Tribolium castaneum: one gene and its partner. The protein of the gene in region 1 interacts with the protein of each later gene in a biochemical or structural test. Links are inferred from orthologs where the notes say so. Each region holds a gene or a part of one and is shown on either strand. Other genes may lie near its edges.

Region 1 (4,519 bases):
AAAAATCAAACTAAAACTGTTAACACCACTAAACAAACATTAATACTTCAAAAAACCTACCAATCTGTGTCTGTGAGCGAATGGTTTTCGCTGAAAATACAATTGAACATTAATGACTACAAAGATTACAAATTATTGTCCTTAGCAATCGTATGATTTTTATTTACGTAAAGACGATAAACTTGAATGAAACACCTACCAGAGGCAAATCTTCATCGCTGTCTTCTTCCTGCTTCACATCAGCAGTGCTATCTTCAAATCTTGACTCGTCCGATTTAAACTGAGACAAATTGTAATCACAGCTGCTCGCAGCTGAAGCATTTTTGTCGTCGACTTCATCTTGAGACTCGGGCTCTTCTTTGATGATGAGTTTGTTATCATCTTCATCGACCGAATCCTCTCTTGCGGAATCTTCTCTTCCCACGTCGTTTTCATGTTTTGAATGGTTCTTACTCTTCTTTTCTCTCTCATCGTCTGACAGTAAAAAATTGTTTAATCAACATTCCATTCGCGTAAAATGTGTAAAATTGGATTTTACGGTTAGTTAAAATTATTGTCACTTGTCCCAATTGGATTTTGGCCAAGTTTTAGAAAATTGGACTCCGAATTGTTTAATTTTTATTATGTAATGAACCGATTCTTTTAATTTATTTCTTCCAAATCGTAACAAGATACGAAAGTTAATCTGCTGGTAATTAACAACTATCTAACAAATTGTTGCATATCAAAGAGTAATTGCTAACCCAATTACAGAGAATAATATTTATATCTACAGCAAATGCAAAGAAACCTTTAATTCACAATTTGTTAATTAAATAAACATTTTGACTAAATAATAAACTGTTGCCAATTATGATCTAATGATGGATTAAGTGATTTTTTTTTATATACTAAGGACTCCATCACACATGAACAAGATATGATTAATTAACATCAACGAGATGCGGGACAATCACAAATATATCATTTGATATTTTAAAACACTGATAAAAAATGTCAAGGTGCTTAAAACCGCTCATTTTAGAATAACAAACGACATAATAAATTAATTAAATCAATTATTTCAATAATTACTGAAAGTTGTTTCGGGTCTTCGTGTATTTATTCCTCAACAAAATGAACAAACAACCTACATATGGTCTAAATCTAGTTATTGCAAAAATAAGAATTGTTTTCGAACATTCGTAGTTTGCATTTCAAAGTGAGACGTGAGCTTGGTTTTTCAATGTCTTGGATAAAACACGTTTCTTAAAGGATGTTACAAAAATTTTAAAATTCAATACAATGTCTTCGTTATTTCGCATAATATAAAGCAAAAAAATGCATGAGCAGCTTCGAATATTGTTTTTGTTTAAATAATGCATAAATAAGCGTTCAAAAACCGTATTAGTCCTGTCGGTGAGTGACTTAAAGACAATTAAAATTACGTACCAGCTTGCGTCAAAAAACATTGATTTTCGTCCACAATTACGAAGATGGTTACATTTTTCAAACATGCCTTATCTACATACCTGCAAGCCATTACAGTGATTAAAAACTCGAGTAGGTTTTTATTTACCTCATGTTGAAAATAATGATTCGAGCGTTCTAAAAATTTGTATTTACAAAAATTTTGTCAAATCAAACTGACTCGAAACTATGGACACAATAAAACAATAACAATACGATGAAACTGTGCTCAAACTTAACATTTTTAGTTAAAGAGTGCAAGGTTTAGGCCTAGAGCAAAAAATAACACCTACAAAAACTGACAATAGCCACTACTTTTGTTAAAATTTTAGTTAGGAAAATTTGGATACAAACCCTTGGCCATTTTTGCAGATGTGTTTTATGCTTTACGCCCTCTGGAAATAATTTTTTAGCAAATGAGGTAAAAGTTAAATTACCGTAGGATTTCTCCGATTCTTTCTCGCTCTTCCGCTCCTTGTTCTTGTCCTTCCGGTCTTTATCTTTGGAGCTGGAATGATGCTTGTCCTTGTCTCTGTGCTTGTCTTTGGAGCTGCTGTGGCGGTCCTTGTCCTTATCCTTCGAGGAGCTGTGCTTGTCTTTATCCTTGCGCTCCTTGTCTTTCGAGCTCGACTTGTGGTCCTTATCGTGCGAGCTTTTGTGCTCCTTTTCCTTGTCCTTCGAGGACTTTTTCTCGTCCCGGTGCTTGTCCTTGTCGCGGTGTTTGTCCTTGTCGCTGCGCTCCTTGTCCCGACTTGAGGACTTGTGTGAACTGTGGCGTTCCTTATCTCGGTCTTTGTCCTTCGAACTGGAGCTATGCCGGTCTTTATCCTTCGAGCTCTTGTGCTCTTTGCTTTTACTTTTCTCCTTGTCTCGCTCCCGGTCCTTGTCTCTGTGCTTGTCTTTATGCTCCGATTTGTGGCTCTTCTTGTCCGAGTAGCCGTTTATGCCGTTCACTTGGGCCGTATCGCTGTTATACTCCTTCATCTTGTGGCTCTGCACCAAAAAACGTGCAAATTATAAATGGAGCCCCCCTCGATTTCGCCCCAATTGAACCGAAAGCAGCGAAAAGAAGCCGTTTAAATGCGTAATCTCGGTTTATCGCGAGAAAATTCTAGACCTGATGCCACAAACGTGGGACTTAGTCTCTGACGCCATTTTGGGACTTAGAAAAATTTCGCTCGAACGCTGTTAGAGCACGAGGAAAGCGCCCTTATTTCACACAAGCGGGAAAATGTGGACGAGCCGAAATTCGCGGAATTAAATTCTAGGCGAGATTTTGTACTTACAGGACTGGAATCTTCCCCATTTGCTCCGTTTTCGACTTCCATCGCTTCACAGATTGAACGAGGCAAACACTTAGAATCCTCGTTGGGGAAACGCAGCGAACGCTTTTATGACAAAGTACGCGATTTTGCGTAGTGCGCACGCGCCGCACTCAGAGGCAATAACCTGTAGCGCGCCAGGATTTGAATTTCGTGCGTTCAACTTTGAACTTGAAAAGTAGACGAATGTCACAGTCAGCTGCTTGAAATTTATTGCAGAGATTCGGGAGAAAGTTCATGGCTTTAATCGATGATGAGTCAGAGGATGAGCGCACTTTTGGGTTCATGCACAGCTTTTGCGGACCGTTTTTTGGAATTAATGTTTAATGGGACGGTTACGTAAAGTATTGTGCACTTGTTGCATTGTAATATTTCGAACAAGATCATCGAATACACTTTTTTTACCTCCTCCCACATAACACGTGTAAATTTAGTTCGAGCTGAGAAAAGCTACCTATTGTTGTTTCAAAAATTTCTTCTATTATTGTCAGGTTTACCTGACTTTCTGGGAAAACTCATTCGAATTGTTTCCTTTTGTTACCTCTTTTAGAAATAGCACCAGAAATAGCTTACTCCTTACATCAAAGAGAAAAATGTTCCGCGTTCCACTTTAAGACCAACAATTTTTAAAATATTTACTTAAAGTGTAAACGTTTTAAAGCGCCTGAAAGCAAAACTGCAATGTCAATCGACTTCGGGTTTTTTCTATTTGGTAAAAAATTAAACAGAGATTTGATTTGTGGCATTATTTTCAAATAAGACTCGGCTGACGTCTTGAAAACCGAACTTCTAGAATTTATTTTCAGCTGCTATTTTTTTGTATGCTTTAAATGGCATTTAAAATTATTTAGAAATGCTATTCAGTTCTACTTTTAGACAAGTAAAATCATAAATGTAGCAATTTTTTATAACTATTTACTGAAAACGTATTGATTTCAATAGAAACGAATCCTGAAAAATATGAGATTGACATCGCCCACGATAAACGCTTGAATATTGAGAATACCGGAACTCTTTTCAAATATATTTCAGAAAAGAGGAATAAGCTTCAAATATAATAGATAAAATATTTGTACAATGTATACAGTGAGCGGCAAGTCTTCTAAATTTAGTTGTCTACTTAATATATTTAAAAGAAAAACGAAAGAACTGATAAAAATACTCTTAACAAAAAAAGTTATTAAGATTTTGTTTGAAATCTATTTCCATGATCATTTGGTGAAATAACAAATTTATTGTGTTGTTTTTTGGTAGTATTTAAACGTAAGATAAGATGTAACATGTAATTTATTGAAACGATCAAAGAAAATTAGAGGTTTTCATAAAAAAAATGTGTCGATAGCGACGTTATTCGAAAACCAAGACAAAAATTTTAAATTCTGTTTAATAAGATTATTCCATATTTTTGCGGCCCACTGTACAAGCAAATTATAGGTGGAATCTATTTTTTTAATATTTTTTTTGCTTCGTGTTCAGGTTCATTATTTTTTTCGAACTCGCAAATTCCTTAAAACGGCACACCTAAGAATAATAAAAAAAAGGAATAATCCATAAAGCAGTACTATAGCAGTGGTTTAAAATGTGCAGTAACAAAAAAATTTGAAAAAATTGCCTTGGTCTCCAAATGATTTGACTATTAGTATTACACCGATATTATTTCTTATACATTAAAAAATGAAACAATATATAAAAGTCACCAGTTTTATTATTTCAATAAATAATAGTCTTCTTGTACTAAAACTGTACAT
Region 2 (4,607 bases), on another chromosome or scaffold:
TACAACAAAAGACACCCGTAGAGAGGCTGCTAATTACGAAAAATATATGACAATTAAAAAAATCATAAAATACGCAGACCAACAATGTTAGAAAAAACAGACTCATGAAGCGCCATATAGCCCATATACTACTTACTTTCACAAATGTGGAAAAAAATTGCTTTTAACAATAATGATGAAGAACTATTAAATTTCCGGATTCAAAAATGATGCACAGAAACAGTTTTTTTAAATAAATTTCGGTTCAGTTTGAATTAAACAAATAAACTTGAACAATGACAGTAATGAATAGACAACATGTAAGTTAATATATTATTATTATATTTAAAAAAAAACTAAAAAAAAAGTATAATGATAATAATTTACTTATTCTTATTTCAGTAACTTTTTTAATTGCTGCAGCAAAATCCGACAGTCAGGGGAATAATGTTGTTAGAATTATTGATACTAAGTAAATATTATGTGATTTTAATTACAGCATAGTTTTAAAAAGTGAGGACGCCCAAGTCTTCAAATGCACAAAAGCAACAAATAAACTGTGCAAATCAGTTTATTGCTGTGTTTTGAAAGAAAAGACAGAAAACGATAAATTGCTCTTTTTCAGAAGGAAGCATAAATATCATTATAACAATATTATTCCTACAATGTACCAAAATATTAACTTAACTTTTCAAAATCAGAACTGTTAAAATTTCGTCAAGCAACCTCATACTTGAAGTGCGCAAGCGTTCAGAACTACCAACCCCGTAAGTGACAAGTTCAGCGCGGTTTAGCTAAACTTTCCACTCAACAACACAACTACGGTTTAAACTTAGTTTAAATATAAACCGACCTCATGTAAGCGAAAGCTTCAGCTTGAACTGAGCAATCAGGCCTAACTATTTTGGTTTTAGTTTTCTGACAATTTAATAACAAAATAGTAAATTCCATAGTTTTTTCCATAAAAATGGTCTCTTGTGTTATTTCTATACAACTAACCGTTTCTTAATAAACAGTATGTTACAGACCATAAATAACATGAAAATCAGGGATGAACAGAAGGTTTCGCGACCAGAACCTGTCCCGAGGAAGAACGGACAAAACGTCGACATTTTCTTACAAATGCGGCCTAAGCCAAAAAGACGTAGATTTCAATTTGGTTCTAGTGGTCCGTTTTTTCTTAATTTCTGCCTCTGTTGTTTTACATACGACTTCAGATGTGCTGCAGGAGCAGTCATTTTACCAAAACACAAACTCCTGCAAAATATTAGCACACAACAGTCACAATCAACAACGCACGGTTTTGACATTTATATTTAACGTTTACCAACCCAAACGTAGGTCGTAGCGTTAATTGTATGCAGCAAAAGACTGACGAATCATTAGTCGAGACATTGCTTACGTCACAGCGCGAATTTTCTATTATTACTAAAAAAGTACCGATTTAAAAAAACTCAGACCGATATTACTAGACATCATTTTGTGTCTACTTTCAGAATCTACAATTTCCAAAAACTTTTATTTTCGAGTATAACACTTCATTGTTGGAGATATAACTTGTCAGCTTAAATCCCTATTTCCATAAAAGTGTCTGTTCCCTATACCTGACCCCCAATCTGGATTACAAGCTCTCACCGAAAAGCCGCCCCAATGCTTTTATTATGGGACAAATCTTCAATTCGATTGCAATTTCCGGCATTCCTAATTAAGTTACACGTTTGACGCAATGATATGATTTGTTCAGCTTTTTAAGACGCATCGATTGATATTATAAAAATTACTCAATCTGAGTGGTCCTTAAATTCCCATAAGAAATGTGCCTTCGTTTCTAAAATTGTCAAAAAACGAAAGCCAAAATAGTTGGGGTATTTTTTATCCTCCACCCCCCAATTTGGGACGTCCCTGATTACAAATATGTACATTTGGTGTTCGAATTCAATTAGACGTACAGAGATTATTATCTGTACCAAATTTTGTGTTTTTATATGCCATGGTTTCTGAAATATTGGGGAAATTAAATTACACTAAAAGGAACACCCCTTATGAAATATTCTTCGATACATGTTTGTAGGAAACTTTTCTCCTAAAATTGAGTGTGCTATCACCTGTTTAAAAGTTGTAACAATAAAAACGAACAGCCCATATGTTTTTACGAAAAGATAAGACAATTTTAAATGTATTTTCATGCTTTTTTTATTTTCGCTCTAATCTTATAGTTTACAAAAAAAAAACAAAAATGTAATAATAATAATAAATTATTGACGATTCAAGAAACGATGCAATGAAAACACAACCTCACAATTTAAAAAATCAAATCGTAGGTGGCAGCCACACATGCTAAAATACCCTTGTGTGTAATTTCGAAAAATTCTGTAAATAAAAACTAAATGACTTTCCTTTTAATCGCTTTTCCGACCTTTATTTCCTATTATATTTCGAATGATTTTCGCGATAAAAAACGAAAACACAAATCAAATTAACAAACCCACCTGTCACAAGCACTCTAAATTGCGACCTGCGAGCTGGTGGCCCCCTGGAGCTGCGTCCCCTGTCGCCGCCGCCGCGGCCACCCCTGAAGCTGCCATGGCCGCCGCCCCTCGGGAATTCCACCCGGAGGCGGTAGCCGTCGTAGTCGTAACCGTCCCGTGCATGTACGGCGTCGTCCGCGTCCCTAAATCAGCACACTGAGAGGGTTTCGAGGCCACATGGGGGCTTACCTGGGGTCCTCGAACTCGACGAAGGCGAAAGGAGGTCCCCGTCGGTTTTTCAAGTCGACGAATGTAACTTTGCCGAATTTGTAAAACAGGTCTTGGATGTCTTTGGTGCGGATGTCCGGGGGCAGATTCCCGACGTAGATTCGGCAGTCGTTGCGGCTGTTGGACATCGTTTCGTGTTGGAAAGTGGACGAAATCGGCGATAAACAAGAAGGAAAGATGGCGACGTGAGGGCGTTTGTGATGGCAGAGCCATCTGGACGGGGTGTGGCGCCAAATTCGAATGGAGGGTTGCAGTACAATACAGTGTGTTTACAGAAGAGTGTAGAAATGAGATAACTGCCAACACACTCAGGGAATTTTTATTTTTAAGAATTTTATTCAACTCCGAAGTATTGGTACGGGGTTTGAGGGTCACCGGAATAATTTCTCTGTTAAAATAAAATTTAATTGTACATTAATTTCATTTGCCTCTATTAGCTGTTTCAAAACTATAAAAACGCCAACGTCGCATTTTATCGAATTATTTTTTTAAATACTATTGATAAAATTGTAAAATAGTTATTAATGATTAGATCTCTCATTGAAAGTATAAATTACACTAGTTATTATTTTTTTGAAGTGCATGAATAATTTATAGAGGTTGTTCCATATCTGGTGGCGAACTGACAGTGACATAAAAATACATGGGCGTGCATTTTTTTTCTGTAAAGTTTACTTAGTTCTCATTTTAACATTAATAAATTTTGAGAACGGAGAAAGGTAGAAATATCACTATTAATTATTATTAATAATTTGTTTATTATTTTTCACAGTACTTAATTACCACAATTTTTTAAATACTAACAGTGGATTTGACAGACATTGTATAACGACGCCTATGGTCATTTTTTTTTCAATAGTAAATGTTTACCTATGTATGTTTAATGCCAAAATTCACTCATTTTTGGAATAAACTCTAACAGCTAATTTTGAGAGAAAATGCGACGTTGGCGTTTTTATTGTTCTGAAACAGCAATACTTTAGTTTGATCAAAATTTGAATTTGAATTTAACCCGAAATCGTTTTGAGCAAGTTCAATTTGTGTTTTGTGGAGGCGTTCAAAACTAGATGAAGAGCTAAAAGTTTTACATTTTTTTGTGAAGTTATGATAGTTCTAACGTTTAATTTAACCCTAAGAATAGGTAAAGAGATCATTTACCGAATCATATCGTAAATTTTTAGTGGAAGTACTTATTAAAACAAAAAACTGTACCAACACTAAGTAGTAATTACATAACAAACGCATAAATAAACTGTTTTTACCAAACTGCACACACTAAGACCTATTCTGTAATTTTATTAAAGGACTGTTAAAATTTGACACATTTCAAAAAATAGCAAACCTAGCAATTTTGTTGATTATCGTTGTACCAACAACTAAAGCTCCTTAAATTAAAAACAATTAAAACAGTTTTAAAGCCGGTTTACAGAAAGTGAAATTAAGATCTAATTTAGAATTAAACTAATTCGAATTAAGTTGCCATTTAAATGTAAAATGCATTGACAAATGTCAAGTTAATCGTGATTAAAATGTAATTGCAATTAAAATGTTCTGTAAACCGGCTCCTAGTTTTTCGTACAGAATAAGGCTCAGTGTTGTTTATAGGATTTATTTTAAAAGTGAAGTTTCTAGAAATTAAAATATAGTCATATCATAATAGAGACGTTCAACGCGAACACGAAAACTGGGTGAAATTGAGCTCTATACAATACTCCGATACTGGATACGCCCGAACATACGCTTATAGTCAAGTCGGCGTCGTCGGCGTTGTCATGGCAACGAAACAAAATACGCATGCGAAAGTATGGAATATTTTAATTTGGAAAAAAATTGAATGTGTTATGACGTGTTTAATGTACTTTTTACTGTAAA

The links.
Region 2: the proteins of Top1 (region 1) and SF2 form a complex in vitro, tested with the Homo sapiens proteins (2 studies listed by BioGRID, with this or other methods). The link is inferred for Tribolium castaneum from reciprocal best matches to the Homo sapiens genes TOP1 and SRSF1.

Annotation. Positions count from the first base shown.
Region 1 is NC_087398.1:8,304,607-8,309,125, reverse strand, and holds the start of Top1 (DNA topoisomerase I, mitochondrial), read right to left. Parts: upstream 2,884-4,519; 5' UTR 2,778-2,883; coding exon 2,736-2,777; intron 2,443-2,735; coding exon 1,887-2,442; intron 1,712-1,886; exon of another isoform or gene 1,564-1,711; coding exon of another isoform or gene 1,559-1,563; intron 1,512-1,558; coding exon of another isoform or gene 1,432-1,511; intron 475-1,431; coding exon 200-474; intron 91-199; coding exon 61-90; intron 1-60. UniProt on the Homo sapiens protein: Releases the supercoiling and torsional tension of DNA introduced during the DNA replication and transcription by transiently cleaving and rejoining one strand of the DNA duplex.
Region 2 is NC_087401.1:8,587,971-8,592,577, forward strand, and holds the start of SF2 (serine/arginine-rich splicing factor 1A), read right to left. Parts: upstream 2,953-4,607; 5' UTR 2,864-2,952; coding exon 2,697-2,863; intron 2,651-2,696; coding exon 2,469-2,650; intron 1-2,468. UniProt on the Homo sapiens protein: Plays a role in preventing exon skipping, ensuring the accuracy of splicing and regulating alternative splicing.